Saccharomyces cerevisiae S288C: one gene and its partners. The gene in region 2 interacts genetically with the main gene of each other region. Each region holds a gene or a part of one and is shown on either strand. Other genes may lie near its edges.

What was found.
Region 1: mutations in UTH1 (region 2) and OM14 together harm fitness more than expected from each alone (negative genetic interaction), as found in Saccharomyces cerevisiae (one large-scale study listed by BioGRID).
Region 3: mutations in UTH1 (region 2) and PAL1 together harm fitness more than expected from each alone (negative genetic interaction), as found in Saccharomyces cerevisiae (one large-scale study listed by BioGRID).
Region 4: mutations in UTH1 (region 2) and RSO55 together harm fitness less than expected from each alone (positive genetic interaction), as found in Saccharomyces cerevisiae (one large-scale study listed by BioGRID).

Annotation. Positions count from the first base shown.
Region 1 is NC_001134.8:679,049-683,082, forward strand, and holds OM14 (Om14p), read right to left. Parts: upstream 1,003-4,034; coding exon 992-1,002; intron 895-991; coding exon 501-894; downstream 1-500. Other genes in the region: glucan 1,3-alpha-glucosidase ROT2, read right to left, coding at 1-173; COQ21 (Coq21p), read left to right, coding at 1,314-1,514; SWC5 (Swc5p), read right to left, coding at 3,131-4,034.
Region 2 is NC_001143.9:517,893-524,441, reverse strand, and holds UTH1 (SUN family protein UTH1), read right to left. Parts: upstream 4,916-6,549; coding exon 3,818-4,915; downstream 1-3,817. Other genes in the region: PLN1 (Pln1p), read left to right, coding at 1-219; YKR045C (uncharacterized protein), read left to right, coding at 473-1,024; UIP5 (Uip5p), read right to left, coding at 1,096-2,427; SHB17 (sedoheptulose-bisphosphatase), read left to right, coding at 2,730-3,545; YKR041W (uncharacterized protein), read right to left, coding at 5,492-6,244. UniProt on the Saccharomyces cerevisiae protein: Involved in aging, oxidative stress response, and in the regulation of mitochondrial biogenesis.
Region 3 is NC_001136.10:1,169,826-1,177,021, reverse strand, and holds PAL1 (Pal1p), read left to right. Parts: upstream 1-5,196; coding exon 5,197-6,696; downstream 6,697-7,196. Other genes in the region: ATP22 (Atp22p), read left to right, coding at 1-902; YPS7 (putative aspartic endopeptidase), read left to right, coding at 2,846-4,636; mitochondrial 37S ribosomal protein mS43 MRP1, read right to left, coding at 6,879-7,196. UniProt on the Saccharomyces cerevisiae protein: Involved in the early step of endocytosis.
Region 4 is NC_001144.5:702,350-708,302, forward strand, and holds RSO55 (Rso55p), read right to left. Parts: upstream 2,612-5,953; coding exon 2,144-2,611; downstream 1-2,143. Other genes in the region: YLR278C (uncharacterized protein), read right to left, coding at 1-1,675; PUT7 (Put7p), read left to right, coding at 2,837-3,781; ECI1 (dodecenoyl-CoA isomerase), read right to left, coding at 3,849-4,691; NNT1 (S-adenosylmethionine-dependent methyltransferase), read left to right, coding at 5,011-5,796; YLR285C-A (uncharacterized protein), read right to left, coding at 5,819-5,953.

The DNA of each region.
Region 1 (4,034 bases), on a different chromosome or scaffold from region 2:
TCGGCGTCCACTTTGTAATAGCAGTGATGAGATTTGGCAATATTTTCTGCATAAACCCTGTTTCTATGGCAAAACCCAGATTGCGCACACTTCTTTAATAGATAGTCGGTAAACGCATGCGAAAAAGCGGTAAAGAAGACCAATTGGCATACGAGCCATTTCAAAAGGACCATGTTGCATACGGTTGATTCGAGACCGCTATTTTAAGATACGCAGAGCAATCAAATAACTCCAAGCAACATGTTCATTGAGTTATAGCTCTCAAGTGCCGTAGTGAGAAAATGTCGTGGTCCGGGTAAAACAAATTAAGGGTACTTGAAATGAAAAAAGAATGATAGTAGACAGAAAAGCTATTATATTATAGAAACTTATCACTTGACCGATGAAGAGGAAAGCACGTTTCCTTACAAATAAATCAGCAGTAATAGTTATAAAAATATATGTATATAAAGTGTGTGAGTGTGTGAGTGTGTGAAAGGATGTTATTAAATAGTATGTTATTATTTCTTGTCGTATCTGGAGTAGTATTTCTTTGAAATTATACCGTCCAGCGTCAAAAGACCCAGAGCGCCGGCGGTTGTTGCTAAGACTGTAGAGTTAGGTTTCCCCTTCAAGAATCTGGCGTTGTGGTTCGCATACCCGTTACATAAATAACATACCACTGAAGAATGCAGCAACAAGTTGACCAAGACAACGGGATTCTGAAGTTCTAAAAAGCATACTTTGGCAAAGTCTTGCGTCTTACTGACAAAAGCTTGGAGGTAGCCGCAAGCGACTGCTGATGCACTATTTAACCGTGCCTTCAGATATTCGATAGCGCATTCCTTCTTATTGTTGTGGTGGTGACCGTCTTCAGAGTCAGAATTTGGGCTAGCGTTACTGTCGTGTTTAGCACTGGGGAAAAGAAAGATGGTCATAGATGATATACGTTAGTCAAAAGAGAACCGGGAGAAAAGATTAGGCGATACGTTTCAGATATTAGTGTACATACGTTGCAGACATATTATGAGATGCTGGAGGTAGATGTTATGTTTCTAATTGTTGGAATAGGGTTACGTCGGCGGTTTCGGTTGAAGTGGGCACATTGATCGACACTTTATATACGCAGGGACGATTAACGGGAGAGGAGGTAGCGGCGGCGTCATTGGCCGCTGGCCCGGGGTAGTAGGGCAGGGAAAGGGGACGGTGAAAAAATAAAACGTAAGTGGGACAGCAGAGATTTGAGGAGTTGAGGCAAGAACAGAGGAGAGAACGAGAAAGCGGATAAGCAACAAAGGAAAAGGAAACAAGTAAAAAAAAAAAAAGAGACTAGCATGAGAAACGAATTATACCAGTTATGGTGTGTGGCGAGTGCAGCAAGAGGGGTAGCCAAGAGCTCATTCGTAAGGGCCAATTCGGCCATGTGTGAGTACGTGCGCACGTCCAACGTCTTGAGTCGCTGGACTCGGGACAGGCAATGGGAAGCAGCTAAGGCCCTATCACAACGGGTCAAGAAAGAGTATGCCGCCAATTAGTGCACACACATACATATATTTTATATACTTACATATTTGGTTGCGTGGTATATAGAATCTCTCCTTTCGCTTCATGAATGAACTCATTCATGCGAAGTCAAAGGAAAAAAAAAATAAAAAAATAAAAGAGCGAACGGGAAGACGAGAGAAACATCAAGCGACCAAAGTAAAAGTCAAGAACGACTCCACAAGTGCGAGGGTCGCGACGTCTCTAACTTTAAAAACAGGCGTCAACCATCAAGTCCGTTTCTTGATGCCGCCGGCATTCTTCAAATCCCTCCAAAAAAAACGCCTCTATGACATAGGCGGTTAATAAAACTGGCCTTGAAACAACAGATGCAGTCATGGCTCTTCTCTTTTCCCAGCAAACGCCTTCCATTGCCTCCTTTTTTTCTCTTCCAGAACTCTCTCAGCAGTATTCTCACAAACACATCTCCTCCCCTTTAGCAAACCTCCATTTATATCCTGCGAGAAGAGCTCCTTCTCCTCAATGAGAAAATAAGCACAAAATAAACTGGGAAAAAAAATATAGTAAAAGACGCCAGCACGTTAACAATGGAACACTCTTATTGTAGACCAACCCCACCCTACACCCCCTCAAACCGAGGACACTTCAAAAGGAAAATCAACAACTTTGGCCGATACTTGGGGGATAAGCAAGCTTATCCTATTACATCAAAAAAAGAATCGTAAGACACCTTTCCTTGCAAACCAAAAATCATAACAAAGTCGAAAAACTTCCTCTTGCAGCGCCACCAGAAAAAGAAGACGAGCGAAGAAATCAACAATAAGAGCGCCCCATCCGCACTAGCACCCCATACCATAAATATTATCTCCCAACCTACTATAGCACCATTTCTTCCCATCGATAAAGAAAAACCAAATCCCGCGTTGGACATAAACGGCTCGGAAAGACAGGGAAGAGTATGAAGCAAAAAGCCAAACTAAGGGAGAAACAGAAAGCTAAAAAAAAGAAAATAGAAAACAACCAGAAGAAAACAAAAACAATAACCTTGAGCAACCGTCGTCTCAAAAACCAATTTCGAAAAACCATCATAAAAACGCCTTATGAAGAAACCATGAGCGAAGAAAAATAGCAGCAAAAAGTAGTGAGACCTGACATTAGCGGAAAACAACTTGCTTAAAAAGTCTCTTCCCGTCCATTTTATTATTTTGGGTGCCAAAAAATGTGTATTGTAACAAATTAAAAGGTAATGAGCCTCATTGAGGTCATTTCAGTTGTTACACTGAAAAGAACAGATACTACACTTGATCTAAGCCAAAAGGCAAAGAGATTCGTGGGGATTTAAAAAAAAAACAAGTAGAAACAAAATGAATAAATCTGATAACAAGTAAAGTACTCATCGATGAAAAAATGAATGTAGAGCCCTTTTTATATGTTTTCACCGAGTGGCCCATCGGAAACGGCAAAAAAAAAAAAAGAAAGAAAAAAGAAAAGAAACATAGAGCGTTGCTAGGTTTTTTTTGCCACCCACACCCATACACCCCATTACTTTGTCTGCAGCATCGTTATACACGTAGTGAAAGTGTGCAGGCCTCGGCGGTTAAAAAAATTTGAGCAGAAAAGCATGTTATTTAATACATGTAATATTTGTCTATGAAGCTTCGCTATCCTGCTGCAACTGCTGAGCAAGTTGTTGCCGGCGCAATTCTTTGTATCTCTCGTCCTCTGCAGACCCGACCCGCTGCAGAAATTCTTGCCGGGCCAAGAACCCATCCTTGTTGTGCAGCACCAATTCGTCGTTAAGTCCAGCACGGTCTACATAACTAGCCCAGTCCAGCTGAGATTTTTCTAATGTCGTTAGCTTGGGTCGTAGCCCGCCAGAAATGATCTGCTCCAACAATGGAGGCCTTTTCAGTGGCCGTCGCAAGTGTTGCCGGCTTTCATTGGACTTGGTCCTAACTGCTTTTTCCAGTTGAACAGGAGCAGCAGGCGCCTGCTGCTTAAATTTCAAACTGTTTAGATATTCTTGACCCTCCGCACTGCTGCGTGAAACCCATTTTTTCTCATGGACAGTTTCACCAGCAAACTTGTAGTTTCTTTCGATGAGGATTTTGTCCTCCTGTTGCGCGGCCGTTGTCGACCTAGCCTCCTTGGAACCGTCGAGAACAGAGCCGACTTTCCCTGAACTGCTCAAAAGACGGTTCTTACTAGCTTCCTGTAGCTCCTCCCAGATGCTGTTTACTTTTGCAGGGATCGATTCAACAGTTAACGATTCATACTTATGTGTTTTCGCATATTCTTCCTCAGCTTGCCGAGCTCTTCTAGTCTTGATCAGTCCGCCGCTCTCGCTCTCTATACGCGAATAGTCCACTTTATTTCTACCCTTATCTCTGTTCACACCGTCATCATAGTCGTCACCGCCATCGCTGGCATCACTATCGTCGCTACCACCACCTAATTTATCTTTTTCAGGCTGGAAGTCCTCGTCCTCCTCTTCTATGTAGCCGTCCTCGTCCTCGTCCTCCTTTTCGTTTGGTATAATCTTTGTCTCTACT
Region 2 (6,549 bases):
AAGTTGCAGTCTGTGTACATCGACCCAACAAAGACTAAGCTTAACGAAACCTACCAACGCTTCACCACTGTCTATGAAAACAATCTAAGTAAATCTGAAAGCGTCCCTAAAGCCATTGTATCCACCGGGTTGGACTTGGGCAATGCCACCATTGAGAAGCTAAAGGCCTCAAGAGAAGACCAAACCAATTCTAAGCCCGCGGCTGTGTCGACCAATTAGTAATTTGGTTTTGCGCTAATCGTGCGCCTGATTTTTTTTCCTGCCACTCTTATATAGTTATTTGTTATTATTCTATTATTTCATCTATTGTTTGCTAGCTATTATGTACGTTGCTGTTTGAGCACTATATACAATTGAATACCAAAGAAAAAATTATAAAAACGAAAAAAAAAAAAAAAAAAAAAAATTTGGTTATAGCTCGATCAAGAGACAATAAAAGTGAATATACATGGTGCCAAGGGAAAGTCCTAGCATGTCAAACAGTCATCATACATCCCAGGGAAGAAGAAACAAACTTTCAGTGTGGGTTAAAAAAATAATAAACACCACTACCACAACTAACGCATCGGTCTCGAGCAGTAAACCAAGACGCGGCACTAGGGCTGGCCCCACAAGAGTTAAGCGTGCTGAGTTGGATCCGGATGGAACAACCATCAGTTCGTCGTTGCGACCATTGGTTGATCGAAATTCGTTGCATTCGAGCGAATCCGATGACGAAGGAGACCGTCGAGTGGCATGGGATGAACCACCAACAGGCAAAGTAAGACAGCAGCAGCAGCAACAGCAGCAACAACAAAACGACAACGCAAGTGTTATTCCGCTAGTATCGTTTTGTTCCTCGTCAGTGAAGTCGTCTACTTTCTCGGACATTCATTCAATACAGTCTACGAGGCCCACAATATTCTCTAACAGGACGTTTGAGACGAATTCTAGCGTTCTGGCCATCCCACCACAGAGTATATTGGATCGATCAAGAACCCTCCCGCCGTCGAACGCAAGTAACACTACCACAAGAAGACCGTGAATTGGCTACCTAAGATGAACGTCCTATATTGTATTATTTGTGTATGTATGTATGTGCGTGCCTATGCAATGCTACATGGGCAATAGCCCCACAGAATGCGAGCCTGCCCTTTTTCTTCTGGATCTAATTTTTTTGAACCTTCTTTGGAAAACTCTTATGCAAGCAGAAAAAAGATAAATGCCCATGATCAATAGCAAAATCTCGCTATAATGCCATATGGTCAGCACGACCTTGAACAACCGAGAGTGAGGATTGTTTGAAGTTTTCTGTTCAGCTGACTGTGACCCAGTCTTGATGTTTGGTTGAGCTTTGATCATTTTCCATTTGGTGAACTCATCGGGTTCCCTGTCAAGGACCTCGCCAAATTCCTGCTCCAGGAATAGCTCAGCTTCCTTTGCGTAATCATAGGTGTCCTCAATGGACGCATCCATGTCGTTCCAATGGAATTCGCTAGTGGATACGTCCAGCAGCTCCACTGTCTCCGTTAATTGGCCATTTAATGCGCTACAGCCAATGTATCTTTGCCCCGTGTGCATGTTTTTCGGCAAGTACAGATTTTCGGTTGTTTGAAATAACTCAATCCAGTAGTTTCCCTCTTTTGCGTACTGCACGTCGATCTTCAGGAAGCTTATACTTTCCAAATATATTATTCTTAGTTTCGTGACTCGATTCCACAGGGCATTTTTCTTGAGTTTTATGTGGCCTCTTGAATTAAGCCGCAGCGATGTACTGAGTTCACCATCACTATTTATATCGTACCAATCGCTTTCTGGGGCCACATTTATAAACACATCCATAAAGGGTACCTCCTTATGGTCGTGGCCTTGGTTGCGATACGTATCCAAGACAATAAATAGGCCAGGCAGATTTTTCGGGAAGCCCATCAGATCTGTATTATCGGCTATGACGCCCTGAGAATTCATCATGTATTGCTTTTTCGCATACGACGACTGTAAATTCTGTGTGAGAAACCCATTTTCGGGCGTAATGGCAAAACACATTCCATCACCAGTGAGTTGTGTAGTGGGGTCGTGAGAAATTCTGAAAGTGAAAACAATCTCAAAGTCATTGATGGTGTTGTCGCCAATTCCATTGGACAATACTAATCCATGTTTATCTTGATCACGGTCCTGAGTCAATTTGATCGACTGAATATTCCTAATTTGCGTGGCACCGCCTACATGCCAAAACTGGTTGATCTTGTCCAAAAACGGTATAGATAAACTAGCATCATGGTTGGGCACACGCGTTACATGTGATCTTCCTCTTGTAAAGGGGCTAGTCTCTGTATGGTACTGATCACCATTATTGAGATAAATCTCAGCCACTAATTGGAATATTAGAAACAATGATAAAATCAATAGTGATATGGCTAGTTTCTCTGCCCTTACATCTCTTGACATCGTTACTTAAAGAGAGAGCACACACGTTATAAACTACCCACCGCCAAATTGCTATCCAATGTTAAGGATAGACAAATGCAAAAATATATAAAGGAAACCAAAATCTGCTTATATAAAGCGTAAATCTTACATTTTTCACTGCTTACTCACTCTTATTGTTTTTTTTCTGTTCAACCACGCGATGAGTTTTTTTTTTCCATTATTATTTATAGGACAAAAATGAAAAAATATTAGCTCAGATAAGCACATTTTGTTCATAGCTAAGTGGATAGGGAAACACCTACACTTAATTGCAAGCAACAATGCCTTCGCTAACCCCCAGATGTATCATTGTCAGACACGGTCAAACTGAATGGTCCAAGTCAGGCCAGTATACTGGTTTGACAGATCTACCGTTAACGCCCTACGGTGAGGGCCAAATGTTGAGGACCGGTGAGAGTGTTTTCCGCAATAATCAGTTTTTGAATCCAGACAACATCACTTATATCTTCACCTCTCCACGTTTGCGTGCCAGGCAAACTGTGGATTTGGTTTTGAAACCATTAAGCGACGAGCAAAGAGCTAAGATCCGTGTGGTGGTAGACGACGACTTGCGAGAGTGGGAGTACGGTGACTACGAGGGAATGCTGACTCGAGAAATCATTGAATTGAGAAAGTCACGCGGTTTGGACAAGGAGAGGCCATGGAATATCTGGAGAGATGGGTGTGAGAACGGTGAGACTACTCAGCAAATTGGGTTGAGACTTTCCCGCGCTATTGCCAGAATCCAGAACTTGCACCGCAAGCACCAGAGTGAGGGCAGAGCATCAGACATCATGGTCTTTGCGCACGGACATGCATTGCGTTATTTTGCTGCTATTTGGTTTGGACTGGGTGTGCAAAAGAAGTGTGAGACGATTGAAGAAATTCAAAATGTCAAATCTTATGATGACGACACAGTTCCATATGTGAAATTGGAATCTTACAGACATTTGGTAGACAATCCATGTTTCTTACTGGACGCCGGTGGGATTGGTGTTTTGTCATACGCTCACCACAACATTGACGAACCTGCATTGGAATTAGCAGGTCCATTTGTCTCACCACCAGAGGAGGAATCCCAGCATGGCGATGTGTAAGCAATCATTCGAAATGCAAAAAAAGATATGCAGTTATAGAAAGTGATAAAAACATTTTTTTTCTTGACTTTTTATGTTATATAATATGCTATATATGATAATATCTAGTGGTATCTTAAAAAAGAAAAAATAATGAAATAAAAGGGATAGTACAAAGGACTGTGTTTTTTTGTATTGTGGAAAAACGAACTAATTGAAAAATAAACCATAAAATGAACGGAGTAAAAAAAGTACTAGCAAAAGCTTATTTGCAATATTCAAGGAAAAAAGGCCTAGTAGAAGACAAAGTTAGCAGAACCAGAAGTAACTGAAACAGTACAACCGTCAGAGCCAGAGCCAGAGTAGACACCATTTTCGTAAGAGCAAGCACCATTGACGGTAGAGCCATCGGTGGCAACGATCTTGATGTTAAAGTTTGGTGCTTCTTTGTTGTTTGGGTTTGGAATGATGGACAAGTAAGTGATACCATCAGTGTAACCAGCACCCAAGACAACTGGGGCCCAGTTACCGACACCGGAACCCTCAGTACCCCAGATACAACCATCTTCCACAGAGACACCAGCGTTGTTAACGTAGTATTGGGCAGAGGTCTTCTTACCTTGCCATTGATAGTAGGAGTCCTCCTTGATGACGTTGATTGGTTGGGAGGAACCAGCGCCAACTACGGTAGGAACGACCATGTTTTCAGAACCTGGATAATCGGTACCACAGATAGCAATGGAGCCGGAGACCTTGTTAACAGCTTGAGCAGAGCCTTGACCTTCTACACACAAACTGTTAGTGTCGGTGTTGGAACGGTATAATTTACCGTTCTTACAGTATAAACCACCAACGGATCTACCATCGGAAGGTTGTTCAGAAGGCCATTGGGTCTTAGCGTAACCTGGAGAACAAGCGTAAGAACAGTAGTATCCGTCTTGACAAGAGGTGGCGGTGTTACCGTTCATGTCCATGATGGAAGCCCAGCCGCCTAGACCTAACCAGTCCAAGGAGACAGCACCTTGTCCGGATGGGAAATCAGAACAGGAAATGGTACCATCTTCAAAATCTCCAGAACCAACAGAGGAAGAAGAGGAAGAGGAGGAAGAGGAAGAGGAGGAAGAAGAGGCGGCGGCAGAGGTAGTAGCGGCGGCGGCAGTCGAGGACAAAGTAGTGGTGGCAGCAGCAACAGACTCGACCTTTCCATCAGCAGCCGCCGAGGTAGCGGTGGTGGCAGCTGGAATAACAACAGCGCCGTCTGCGTTGACGTACTGAGTAACGGTGACAACGGCACGCTTGTCGTTGTGGTGGTGGTTGTCACTATGGTGGACAGCTGGAGCGGCCAAGACGGCGGTGGAGGCTGATAAAGCTAATAGAGCGGATAATTTCATACTGGAATTTCTTGAAAAATTAAGGGAGGGTAAATTTTTGTTTAAAGGAAGGACTAGTAGTTGGTTATATTCAAATAAAAATGAATGAATGAATAAAAAATAAACGAAGTTTAAGGAATGAATACACTGGAAATTGTGTGGTCGTACTTTTTTTTTTTTCTTCTTAGTTACCGATGAAAGGAGCGTAAATTGCGGTTTAAAATCTTTGCTGAGCTTTGATCTGGGAGACGCCGAGGTCTCGAGAAGGAAACACATTAGATGGTATTCACTTATATACCCGAATCAGGAGAAACAAAGGCGAAAAAAAGGAAAAATTTTGTTTTGTCTGCTTTTTTCTTTTTCCGCACGACCCGGGCCGGGCCGTGCAGAAAGACCTACTTGCCCAAAAGCGGCAAAACGTCAACACCACCTCTACATTTCTTTTTATGGACTCATTAGGTTTCCCGATCTGGAAAAGAAAGGGCTTTTCCAGTGCCGCGGCCTCGAGATCCAGGCACCAGGAACTAGGCACGCTGTGTATTCTAACACATTGAAGGGCCTAGGCCCGCTGACGTGGGGTCTAGTTCCACTTTTTCATTACCTTTTCTCGGTCTTTTCTTGCTCCCACAGGCCGTTAATGGCCTGAAACAGTTTTGTGACTTTGGACTTATGATAACGATGTTTGTCCGGGTGCCACCGGATTCTATCGCGGCGAATCAAGTCTAGTCTGTTTGCATCCATCAAGGCACTGCTCATTGTGTAAAATTGTTCTACGCTTTTGTCATCAATCATATCTAAACTCACAGCCGCTAGGGTAGGTGTGCCTGGCAGTGGTAAGGTAGCCGGCTCGTCTTTGGTCATGCGCCAATACTGTCGAACGGCCCGCGCGTAGCGTTCTTCGGCTTCAACCTTAGAGCTGATACCTTTTGCCTGGTCAAAGGCGAAAACGTCTACCTCGCTTTCACTGCTGCTTTCGCTTTCATGACTTCGTTTCAAGCGGTCTCTTTCGCTCTCGGTTGTAACACACTTGTAGCCTGCTATGCTTTCACCGTACTCGAAAAGCGTAGCCTCATGACTAGTTGTACCAACGCCCTTTCTTTTCTTTTTTTTCTCTTGACACTTCGGCGTATTCATCGCCACTGGTACAAGCCGTATGGTGCTTTTTTGCTCATTTTCGTTTTGACGTTGCGATGGTTTCGCGGACCAATCGCATGGGTGGTGGTGGATGTTGTCTTTGCTAGTTGCAACGTAGTCTTCTTCTCTCCTGCGCTTTCTGACGAAAATTGGCCTTACGTATCTTTTTTCGGCGTCGTTGTCGTCATCGCTGTTCATATAATCGTCGTCACTCATATCGGCGCTTTTACTGCATGCTGTCTTTTGAAGAGAGTTTCATTGAAAAGTAGTGAAGAAAAAAAAAAAAAAAAAAAAAAAAAAAAGGAAAAAAGCTTACATACGGAAAGAGAAAAAAAAAAAAAGAAATTTTAAAATGGACGAGTCCGGAATCGAACCGGAGACCTCTCCCATGCTAAGGGAGCGCGCTACCGACTACGCCACACGCCCATAGTAGATATATTTTCTGATGTCCTAGGAATTGGATCATATATTTTTACAAGAATGTGATGTATCAAACAAGCTTGGAGTGGAGTATTCATGAT
Region 3 (7,196 bases), on a different chromosome or scaffold from region 2:
GTAAATATCTCCTCTCATCATACAGCTCAAAGGCGTCTGCTAATATTCTGAATGCCCTAGGGATTTGGGGGTGGCTCTATCATTCAAAATCAACGACTTTGACAGCTCCTACGTTAGCAAGAGAGCTGAAGAACAAAAATAATATTCTACCGAACACAATGCGAATAGGATCACCAGTGACTGTTCCAATTTTAACTGAACTGTATAGAAGCCTTTTATCTTCGAGTTCTGTTTCACTGGAAAGTGGTCAATTCAAGAATTGTCTTCTTGATTTATATTACAAGTACAAGAGTTTTCTTTCCGAGGAAGCTCATAAATACAGGTATTGGAGAAATGATACCGGAATCCTCAATGTTTTCCTAAATTATATTAGATTCCAAGCTCGTGAACCAAGGCTGGCCTACAATGTTCTTCTGGATTTTTATTCTCAACCTTTCGCCAAAAAAGTGGTTTTAACTACCACGCTATGTCCCTTTTCCATAGTAGCCTATAAAAATCATACATTAACGCAGGCTGAACTATCAGAATTGCTACAGGTGATGCATAAAAATGGGGTGCCTTTAACGTTTAAATTTTGTTCTGCAATGGTAATGCATTATGTCAAAATGAGAGACGAAAAAGGAGCACGCTCCTGGTACAATAAGATACTCTTCGGGGGCTTTGAAATCAGGCATATGGCTTTGATACAGATAATAAAAGACCAAGGCTGGCCGTTTCCCAAAAACTTTGACGAAACTTTACTGACGGAATTGGTGGAAAATAATAACATTAAAGAACCTACTGATAGCACCCTGTTTACTGACGAAGATATGTTCGAAGAAGATGGCAAGCCTAGATTTAATGATGATGATGTTAATAAATGTACAAATATTATAAGAGAGACGTTGAAAAGTCTAAATTAATATCCAGATGAGCACTAGTAAATAGTAAATATTCATTCATAGATAGTAATTTACCCATAAGTTATTAATACCTACAAAGTTTTTTCATAAGTTTATGAATATGTCTTCTTGGCCCATGGTTACTTTATTACCTCTAATACCTTATTTACTTTCTCAAATAAATGAGCCCTTGGATTTCATTTACTGAGAATAAAAAAAAGTACCGTGCTCGGCAAAAATGCTCCAGGGGAGGTTCGAACTCTCGACCTTCAGATTATGAGACTGACGCTCTTCCTACTGAGCTACTGAAGCTTTGTTTTGTACAGACGTTACATCTCAGAATGGGATACGTCAGCATGACAATACATTATCCTGAACGTTCATAGAACACATATGAAACCTAAGAAAACGAACAGATTGAGCAACATGAGGTAAAACTCCGCCTTCTATAGCTGGGCTATCTAAACGTATAAATGCCTGAACAATTGGTTTATGAGAAATGGGTGTATTTTGAGAGACTTGTTGGGATTCCATTGTTGATAAAGGCTATAATATTAGGTGTACAGAATATACTAGAAGTTCTCCTCGATGATATTGGAATCCTCTAAATGGAATCTATATTTCTACATACTAATATTACGATTATTCCTCATTCCGTTTTATATGTTTCATTATCCTATTACATTATCAATCCTTGCACTTCAGCTTCCTCTAACTTCGATGACAGCTTCTCATAACTTATGTCATCATCTTAACACCGTATATGATAATATATTGATAGTACAACTATTAGTTGATAGACGATAGTGGATTCTTATTCCAACAGTTTAGATCCAAGGTTCCGCGCTTCCACCATTTAGTATGATCCATATTTTATATAATATATAGGATAAGTAACATTCCGTGAATTAATCTGATAAACCGTTTTGACAACTGGTTACTTCCCTAAGACTGTTTATATTAGGATTGTCGAGACACTCCGGTATTACTTGAGCCCGTAGTACAGCGCAGGCCTCCAGAGTTGAATTATTCTAAATTCCTGAATAATAACAATTTTGCAGACAAAATTCAGGCAATAACTCAAAAGAGTAATCTTTCACTGCATTTAAGGCGCTAAGATTCCCGCCAAAAGTAGTCGTCACAAAAGAACGTATATAAAATGCACTTTCGAGCGGTGACAATGTGAGAAATAGGTAAATATTGAGACAATTGTTGGGATTACCCTGTTTCTCATCTTTTATGTCATCTTTTTACACCGTATATGATAATATGCTAGTCGATAGATGGTGGTCGATTCTTCTTCCTGTATACAAATATATGAGTTGGGGATGTATATTGCAAAGAGCTTGATTATGACACATTGCCAGACCAAAAAACAAATCTCTTTCTATAATGTTCCCAGGTGGGCTAATTTTTTAAATAACGACGGCAGTATATTGATATTGGAGAGAGTTGTATTTATTGTTCGATATTTATTTTGATATCAGCTTTATATTGTAAGTGTTCAATATTTTAATTAGTGTGTATTTTGTAACTTTACTGCCAATTATCAACATAATTACAAAATTGTTATAAAAATTGATGCACTAGTGTTTCGGTTCTTGCTCTTTTAACCAACCGAGCCTAAAAAAGAGGCTCTTGAAAGTAATTTAACCCAAACAATGAGATCTTCATTCTTTTTTTTTTTACCTCAGCTATGACTTGCAGTGCTTTGTATCATACCGCTCGTTTGGTCGTGCTATTTGCAACAATGAACCTCGTTACCCCGAACAAAAAAAAATGAGATATTGAACGCCGCAGCTCATCATGGTAGAATGATGCAGCTAATACCAAAATAAGTTATATTTAGAATGTTGGACATATCAGTTGCATTAGACTAATCGTTCTAGAAGGATACAGAACTTGGAAAGATCTTTGAACGTATCGTAACTGCGTGCTTGCTTTATTTGCCGTTGATTTTTGCTATGACATGCCTAATTTTATGGTATCTGTGGCTCATATCAACTTTTCAGTTAGAGTTTGCAACGGCTAGTACTGCAAATACAACAACTACAGCAAAGTCTGGAACCTCTTCGTCAACGGAGGAGCCGTTTCCTGTACTAGCCGTGGGTAAAGATGGTAGAGGAAACTACTATGTTAATAGCACATTTGGCACTCCCGGTCAACGCCAACGTTTGCTAGTGGATATTATCCAACCGTACATAAATCTGGTTTCCGGAACAAGCGAAAGTCATAACGAATACTCCGGTGTATATCATAAGCATCCCAGCTACCTCATGAATGACTCTACATCATCTGTTCCTGTTTCTCCTGGCCAAATATATGAGATTTCTTTCATTGATGGTAGAGCTGTTAACTGTACTTTGGTGACAGACGATATGAATTTTACAAATGTTTCCTCAGAAAATTCCTCGACCGCTTTGATAACCGATTTAATGGTAACTCGAGATAACGTACAATTTAACTCGGGGAGCCTATCCATTTCAAACGTTTCCTTCTTTGATATTCAGTCCTCGAACTTTAAGACTTCAGGCTTGTTAGGTTTAAGCGGGAAGGTCACAAACCCAGGCAATGCTATCGATAGCTCACAATACACAGAACAGTCTTATTTTCTATCCTTATTGAAAGATGCAGATATCATTGAAAGTTCGTCATATTCACTGTGGTTGGCTGGAGACACTTCCACGTACAAAACATATAGAGATCCAATATCTAATTGTGGGAAGCTACTTCTTGGAGGGGTGGATCCTTCGCTGTTTACCGGTACACTGGGAAAATTTGACTTAATTCCTTACGTTGACCCAGTGAGTAATGCTGTTAGTGTTGGGTACCCAATTGTGCCATTAGGCCCTATTTATATTGTGTCTAACAGCGGACAAAGTTTGAATATGACTTCGAAGGACTTTCTGAGCCCAGCCTTACTTGATTCAACTTCTTCGGTCAGTTACCTGCCAACTAGTACCATTATTCAGATTGCCGTTCAAATTGCGGCCACTTATGTGGAATCACTAGATAGGTGGCTAGTCCAATGTTCTATAGCAGATATGGGTGTCTCCTTGGGTTTCAGGCTTCGAGAATTGACAATTGAAATACCCCTACGTGATTTATTATCATCTACTTACGATACATCCACCAATTCTTCAATGTTTTTCAGTTCTGGACAGGAAGCTTGTTTTCTAACACTATACGCTAATACAAATACTGGAGTAAACATACTCGGAGAAGCCTTCATAAAAAATATATATATGGCAATGGACTTAGAGGATAACACTATAGCCATTGCACAGGCAAAGAAGGTTGAAGATGACGCAGTTACTGAAGAGACAAATGAAACTACCGCGTCCACTATCATCAAGAAGATCAAATCTGGTTACATTCCTTACGCAAAAGTGATGAATAGTAGTAATACAAGAAACTTGACTCTTTATCCATCCTATAGGTCAGGCTATATGTTCACTGTCCCAGGTCAACTGACAGCAGCATACTCAAACGGTGTGATTACAGGTGCGGGCCGGTCATTCTATGATACTTCAAGAGCAAGCACAAGTGCTAGACCATCCAGTACTCAATTCGACAGCTTTTCTGTGTCAGCCTCAGAAGAGTGGTCAAATTCAACTAATAGAACCAGCAGTGCTTCGGGAGCAGGCGTTCGATTGAGCAGTCCTTATACATTTAACAAAGATCCAGCTGGACATGTAACTCGTATAGCTTCCTTGCTACTACTTTCGATATTCTCGATACTTATTGTTCTTTGAATGGTTTTAACAAAAGTTCATAACATAAAACCTTTTTCTCCTTGACCAATGCACGTATAACATCATTATATAGCAGATTTAATAACAACATACTTAAAAGTATATATGCGTCATTCTTATCCAGTTGTGTAGAAGCTAGTACTTGTGATCAACCATTGGCAGCCATCTCAAAGAATCGTCGTGCACGGAGCGTAAATCGCGTTACTTTTTTTTTTGTTTTTTTTCCCGCCTCGAGGTTGGTTCAACAGCAGATCATGGTGACTGGCGATAGGTTATTCACTAGAAAATGAAGATACTCTTTCTTGGGAGGTAACTCTGTAAAATTTCTAATTTGTATTTTATAGTGTGTAGAATCCGAAATATATCCGATCTACCTCGCTCTTTTTATTGTTATTTTTATTCGAGGAATTTAAGTGTTTTGCAGACCTATCCCTTCGAACACGTAACGTCATTTTACCATAATCTTCGACTGCTTAATTGTTGATACATTGTAGGTTCCATTACACTTTGCCAGCATTTTCCATTTTTAGAAAAATTGATACATATACGCAAGATTTAGCATGGAGAATAGAAACAGTAGTACCTCTAGTAGGCCATTTTCTGTTAATAACCCGTTTAGAAATGCCACAGTTGATTCAAGTATTAATCAGTATAAAAATGACTCCCAGTTTCAGGAGTGGGCGAAAAACCAATCTCGTACCAATTCATTTGATATGCCACAATTGAACACAAGAACTTCTTCACAATTATCATTCCCAAACATTCCAGAGGATGAACCCCAGCGAAACGCAGATCAGCAGGGTGCTTTTTATTCTGGTTTGGAGAGCTTTAGTAGTGGTAGTTTATCACCACCTTCGAGACCTCTTTCCTCAAAGAATCCTTTCCTAGACGATGTGAGTTCTGCAACCGATTTTAGAAGGTCTCCCCCACCTGTTTCAAGGAATAAAAATCATCCCACTGCTAAAGAAGAAAAAGAACAATTAAGGCAAAGATATTTGGAGGAAAGTGACGTAAGTACAGTAGGTAACACAAGAGAAAACACTGACCTACCACCCTCATACGAAGAGATCACTTCAACCAATGGATCAAGGCGTGCATATCCAAAGGAAAAGGTTTCTCGTCCTTCTTCTCACCGCGAACATAGCAACAGCGGCACATATATTTCACGCAGATCTTCATCCCACCATCACCGTGAAGCTTCCTCATCTTCAACGCCTTCTAAGAAGGGAAAGAGAAAAAGTAAGGTTATTGTTCCTAAGAACGTCGATACTATCGATAAGTTAGATGTAACTGGATTGTTCGGTGGCTCATTTCATCATGACGGCCCATTCGATGCAGTAACACCTCATAGAAATAAAAATAACAAAGCTGCGCCTGTTTTAGCATTTCCGGTCGATGGTCCAAACAGTACCATCGGTGGCGCTTCAACCAAGAAGTCTGCCCTGGATGAGGTTTTTGGGAGAGATGATACAGATGATTCTGATATATACCAGTACAGTTCGCAGACTCTAAGGAGAGGTGGTGATACGCAGGACGCAATAAAAGCAAACGTGGGTAACGTCCAACAAATGGATGCCAAAAATAAGACAGAATTGGTTCATGGGCCAGTTACTGCGGGATTAGGTTCTAGTACGTTTTTAGATGGGGCGCCGGCCTCCTCAGCTGCCATTAGAAACGACATAAAAGCCCATTCCTATCATAATCGTAACGGTGGTTTACAAAGAAATAAGTCACTTTCTCAACGATTAGGTCTCGGAGGATCCGGTGATAGCAATGCCCCCATGACAGGCGTTAGAAGAAACTTGAGTTTAAGTAGAGACAACTATGATGTTGGTCACAGCAATGAAGGTGTTAGAAGGTCGAAAACCGTTAATTCTCCTAACAGAACGCATAAGTCCAATTATACTACTGATTTCGACGGCCAAGATGATCACAATGAAGATGAGGAAGACGTTTATTTGGGTGTGCGCTACAATGAGCCCAATATGAAAAAGAAATCGACGGGCAGCAAATTACTGAGCAGAGTAAAAAGTCTAAAGGTCGGCAGGAAAAGTCAGTAAAGTGAGCTTAAAAGAGAGAAAAGAAGCTATGAGACACCAAAGCCAGGCAAATAAAAGGGAGAGATACGAATAAAAATAATTTAAGACCACGTTATATACACATTACGAATAGTTTGACTTTATATATTTACAGAGACTACCAACTTATATCAAAAGGAAAAAATTCCCATTACCAGTTTCATTCATAACGTGTTGAATGCTTGGATCTTAGTACGTTGAGGTAACCTTGACTCTACAATTTTCCATTCTATAGAGTCCCATACCCTTTCTAAATATTCTCGTTTCCCAAATACGCCATAATCAGTTAACCATGTTTTTGGTGACGCATCAATGGCTAAAAGCGGGATATATGAAACCTCTTTCCCAGAAAAACCTTTCTGTTGGGTTTCATAAATAAATTTTGTCTTGGCTTGCTTGGCAGTCATCTCAGAATCTTCAAGATTACCGGCTTCTTTGGCTCGTTGTTTTTCCATGTTGGTATATTGGTTATTGAGCTCATT
Region 4 (5,953 bases), on a different chromosome or scaffold from region 2:
GCTTCACTGACCTGGAATCGTTTTTCAATAGCTGTAAAGTCTCTACAAATTGAGATTCAATTCTTCGCAGCTTTAGAGACTGATTGATGAATTGCACACCATGGTCATTGGTTGATGGAGCCGCCGCATGCACACCTTTTGTATAAAAAGAGTCGTTATTGAAAAGAGGTAAATTTATTTCCGACTCCTTGATTGTATAAGGTTTCCCCACAGCAACACAAATCATTCTTTCCAACAGGTAAACACACCAAAATAGTCGCAGTTTCTTATTTGCAAATGGATCATTAGGATACCATTGATTTAGATGAAGTTTCTTCTTGGATATGCCCATGACATCCTTGATTATGTCATATAGTATCAGAGAATCTCTATCAGTCCTAATAATGTAAAGGACAAGCAATGTCAACAGTTCTATTTGCTGAACATAATTCAAATGTAGACCACACTTAGTGATGTGACGGATAGCGGTGGAGAAATATCGGTGAGGTGGAAACCCCTTGTACTTACCTGTGGTCATCAGTAAGTAGGCGCTGATGCTGAAGACAAGCCACATTCTGCCGGATAGAAAATGAAATTCTATTTCAGAATACGAATGTGAATTCGACGGTGGTGCTGCGGAAGACGTGGCGGGAGAAGATGGTGGGATAAGAATCTTGTTGTGGAGGTAGTGGTCATAAAAAGTATAGATTTCTTGTTCGTCTAAGATAGGGTACTTGAATTGTAATCTTGTGAAAAAAGTGTCCAAGAAGGAACGTGACAGCTTCTCATTCAGTTCAAAAATAGGGTCATACATCAAAAACTCTTTTTTCAAATTGTATTTGGCAAAAATACACTTAGTGAAGTCCAGCGTCTCTAAAGGGTCATTCAAAAGGCTCGCGGATTGGCAGATAGCATTATTGTTGTTTATGTTGTTCGTACTGGCCGATGTATCGTTAGTGGCCGCATTAACGTTGCTGCCGTTATTGTTTGTGTTCTCCAGGGGTTTGTTGGAAGGAGATGGCAGCGGCAGTATGACCATATTGCTGCTGTTCGGTCTAGAGTAATCAGAAGTGTTGTTACTGAACAAATGAGAAACCTTCTTGTACTGGGATAATTCGTAGTTGTACTGGTTGCATCCCGGCGATAAATCGAGCAAAGTCTCCAAACTTTTTAGTTTTTTCTCCAAGAAAATCGTATACTGATCTTTGTCTTGCCTCATCAGGTTTGGATTGGAATTTGTCGTGACGGACTTTATCGTTTTCCTGAATTCATTCGCGTCGCCAGCATCAACATTACTATTGCTAGTGGAAATGGGTTTTATTATCGTCATGTCATTCAGAGAAGTGGCAGCGCCAGCGCCAGCGCCAATACTGCTATCTTGCAGCTCACGTTTTATTACAGGATGAGGTGTAGGAGGTACAGTGCCAGCTGTAGGGGTGTTGTTGTTGGTGTTACTGTTCGAAGTGGAAGAAGAGTACTTGGAGGGCTGCACGCACTTTATTCCTGCTTTCAAACAGGCGGTACAACTGGGTAATTTATGGTCGCATCGTTGCTTTCTTCTTCTACAAAGAAGACAAGACCTGGAACGGCCCTTTTTGTCTTGCAACAAGACGTCTGTCCTGTTACCGGCCAGCTCCAGTTCTCTCTTCAACTGTTGTATTTTCTCCTGGCTAACATTCTTCCTTGGACGGCCCATTATTATTTACGTGTATTGTTGGTAGTTAGCCCGAAGATTATGAGTACGTGAAATACACTTGTCTTTATGAAAGAGTGGAAAAATGGTGGGGAGTAAGTTATACTATTGACGTGTAAAAAAAAAAAAAAAAAAATGTTAATGGAACGACCGATCTAAAGAACCATATATAATGAATGACTAAAAAAAGCAAAATAGTTAAGAATCCAAGAAAGATACTAAGAAAAGGCGAAAAGAAAAAGAAAAAGTATGTCCGCTAACAAAGATTAGCGTATAAGCACCACACGATGCGATTCAGGTCTCAACGTGCAGTGTGCAGGAGCAGGAACTATTCAATGTATTGTTGTTCCAGGGTTTTTGTTCGCAACCCACGTCTTGACCGACGGTACCCGCAGGTGAAAATTTTAGCAAAGTTACACTTTTTTTTTCATTTTTTTTTTTCTTTTCTCCTCCATCTAATTTCACCTGCGGTTACCGGCGGAATAACTCGCGCACCATTTCTCTGTCTCGGGCCTCGCGTTCCTCTTTTTCGACTCGAGCGGCCTCTTCACGCTGCTCGTACTTCGCGACGCTGCGCCGGCGCTGCGAGCGTTTCTGTTGACGGTGCCACTGTAGAAGCGCCTCCTCTCTGGACGGCATCGTGTCGTACGACGCCGCAAGTTCGCGCGCGAGCTTAAGCCGGGCAAGCTTTCGATTTTGCTCACGTGACCGCGTTTCTTGGCACTCGACAACGATCCCAGTGGGTTCATGCCGTAGTTGTACCTTAGAATTACACTTATTAATCTTTTGGCCACCGGGCCCTCTGCCGCCATGAAGGAATTTCTCAGTGCATTGTGCTTCCATCTCTGGCGTGAACTTTGGTCGCGGTGGTAGCTTGTTCTTTTTAATCAGCAGCACTGCGGCACTGCTGATTGACCTCTTACTCGCTCCCCTCATCATAGTTTACTAGTCTCGGATTCTTCTGCGCTTTTTCCAGGGTCGCATAGCTTGTAGGTTGGTAGCATAGACTTATATATAAACTCATATCCGTTCTAGGAACGTATAGCGCGCTATGGTAGTCCGGGGAAAATGCACAGTTTAGTTAAGTGTATAGTAATTTTATCGATAAAGGAAGAATGGAAGAGGTTTATGTATACATGTAAACTCTGAACATCTAATAGACTAATGATGCGGTTAATACGTACATTGCCGCTTCGATGCTTCAAAACTAGAATACGGCGGCAAGGCTCGTTGTTGTGTTTGCGGTGCTTTAGTTCGTATTCAAAACCACTTTTGCAGAAATCAATGTCATTGAAAAATATCCAGTTATCAGACCTATCCTCATCGCCATTATCCAAGAACAAGGAGAAGCAGGAGAAGCCAGAGAAGGAAAACGAAGGAAAGCACTCCATTGGCCTGTTAGACAGATTTTCAGAGGACTTTATTACTCAGGGCAATGGATTGAAACCTACTACTTCACAAAATCAATTGGATACTATAAAGTTTTATCAAATGCTTCGTGAAAGAGGCAATTTTTCCGATGAACAATGTAAAATTATCATAGCTCTATTGTTGCAACTACTAAATGATCAGTTTTATTCCTGTTACAATGATTTGTTCTTAAGGGATATGGAGCTGAATAAACAATCACATTTGTTCAGCTCGCTAGAAACAGAATTGAAATTCGCAATTCAAAACTCTAGAGACACGCAACTAAATGAGCACCACTTGCAATTATTAAAACTCAAGAGAGAACTTAACTCAATCCATGATGAACTGAATGAAATCATAATAGATCTTTTGCAAAAGGACGCTAAATTAGAATTTAACAATCAAAAATTAGAAAACACCCTTTTGTATCGACAATTAAACCTGAAATTGAACGACTGTTCTAACAAGATTCAAACCAAGATACTGGGGGATATCAGGTCACATATCGAAAATTTAAGATGGCAGACAACCAGAAGCGGTCTTTTGGTAATATTAGTCCTTGTTTGTTCGATTATGATCGGTGTAAGCGCATCTAAGAAGGAACGCCCAGGTTTACAGGAACCTGAGGAACCTGAAATTTTAGCACCAAAGGAAGACATTGATACTACCTTCCCTCAAGATCAACATGATATAGATTAATTAGCATACATATTGTCTGTACATAAGTATATTGTGTGTGCGTTTTGTTTCACTGAGAAAGCGGACGTCATAAACGATGCTTCCTTTGTTTCGAGCCCAGCTGCCTAAATCTTTTTAAGGGCTCTCCATCTACCCAATACTTGAGAGATTCATTTACTTCCACTGAGTTAGCCTTATTGAATGCATCGATGTGGTTCGATTTCAGCAATTTTTTCATCCCTAAGCAACTGGGCAGGTATAGCCCTTTCACTTTCTCCCTCAATTCTTCTAAGACCTTTGCATTGAACGCTTCAGCGTTTGAAGATGGCATGTTAAAATTCTTGCTTATAAATCCGTTCTCGCACATTATATCGTACTTGAATGGTTTGTTGAACATGAGGCATTCATACGTCGTATTTGTGCCAAACTTCAATGGCAAAGAGACCGTTGTACCACCTTCGGTAATTAGTCCTAAGTTAGCAAAGGGGTATAGCAAATAAACCTTGTCATTTATACTGTACACAATGTCACATAACGCTACCAGTGCCGCGCTCAACCCTATTGCTGGTCCATTCAAACAGCAAATTAAAACTTTGGAATGCTTGATGAAGGCATCAGTGACATAAACATTTCTAGCGACAAAATTTGACACCCACTTGCTTGTTTCCGAAGGATATTTATTGGTATCATCCCCTTGGGCTTTTGCAATACCCTTGAAATCAGCACCACTGGAAAAAAATCTACCACTGCTTTGTATAATTGTAAAATATACATCACGATTTCTGTCCGCTAGTTCTAGTAACTCTCCTAAATAAATATAGTCTTCACCTTCTAGTGCATTCAAATTGTCAGGGTTCATTAAGTGAATAATGAAGAATGGTCCTTCAATACGATAACTGATTTTCTCATTTTGCCTAATTTCTTGCGACATATTGTTCTTCCTTCCTTTACTGTGCGAGCAATTTGTGCCATACACTCCAATTATCTATCCATATGTTCATCTTTCAGTTCTTATATATAGTGCTTCACTTTTATTAACCGCTCTTGGGGTAAAAGAGAAACGGTCACTGCTACAGCCTTTCGGAATAATATTTCTTATGCCCGTCGCCAATTTCAGATTCTTTCCTTCGTGCCGCATTTATTTTATTTTTCAAAATGACGAGAAGTTAAAATCTAAAATCAGGAAAAAGAACAGTTGCAGATGACGAAATACTTCGAGCATTATCGCAATAAATAAGGCGTGTAAACGTATGTCAGATATAGAATCATTGGGAGAGGCAGCAGGTTTATTTGAGGAGCCAGAGGATTTTCTTCCTCCTCCACCAAAACCTCATTTTGCAGAATATCAAAGGTCACACATCACAAAAGAGTCCAAATCAGATGTTAAAGACATCAAACTCCGTCTCGTTGGAACGTCACCACTTTGGGGTCATCTCTTGTGGAATGCAGGAATATACACCGCAAATCACTTGGATTCTCATCCAGAATTAATAAAGGGGAAGACTGTTTTAGAATTGGGTGCTGCTGCTGCTTTACCTTCCGTTATTTGTGCTTTGAATGGGGCTCAAATGGTTGTTTCAACTGATTATCCAGATCCTGATTTAATGCAGAACATCGATTATAATATAAAGTCTAACGTTCCTGAAGATTTTAATAATGTCAGTACGGAGGGTTATATTTGGGGAAACGATTATTCTCCATTGTTGGCACATATCGAAAAAATAGGTAACAATAATGGAAAGTTTGACTTAATCATTTTAAGTGATTTAGTCTTCAATCATACGGAACATCACAAATTACTTCAAACAACAAAGGATTTATTAGCTGAGAAAGGTCAGGCGTTGGTAGTATTTTCACCGCATAGACCAAAATTGTTGGAGAAGGATTTAGAATTCTTCGAATTGGCTAAGAACGAGTTCCATTTGGTTCCTCAGCTAATTGAAATGGTTAATTGGAAACCGATGTTTGACGAAGACGAGGAAACAATCGAAGTCAGATCTCGTGTTTATGCGTACTATTTAACACATGAAAAGTAGTAAGTGGGCGGAATTGGCATTCTCAACAATCATTTTTATGTTTGTAAACCAGTGTCCTTTGATATGTAACAATTAAATAAAATAAGTCATGATGGGGCACGAATTCGCAAAATGGTAGAAACACAGTAAATCGAAGAAAATTAAATAATTCGTTATA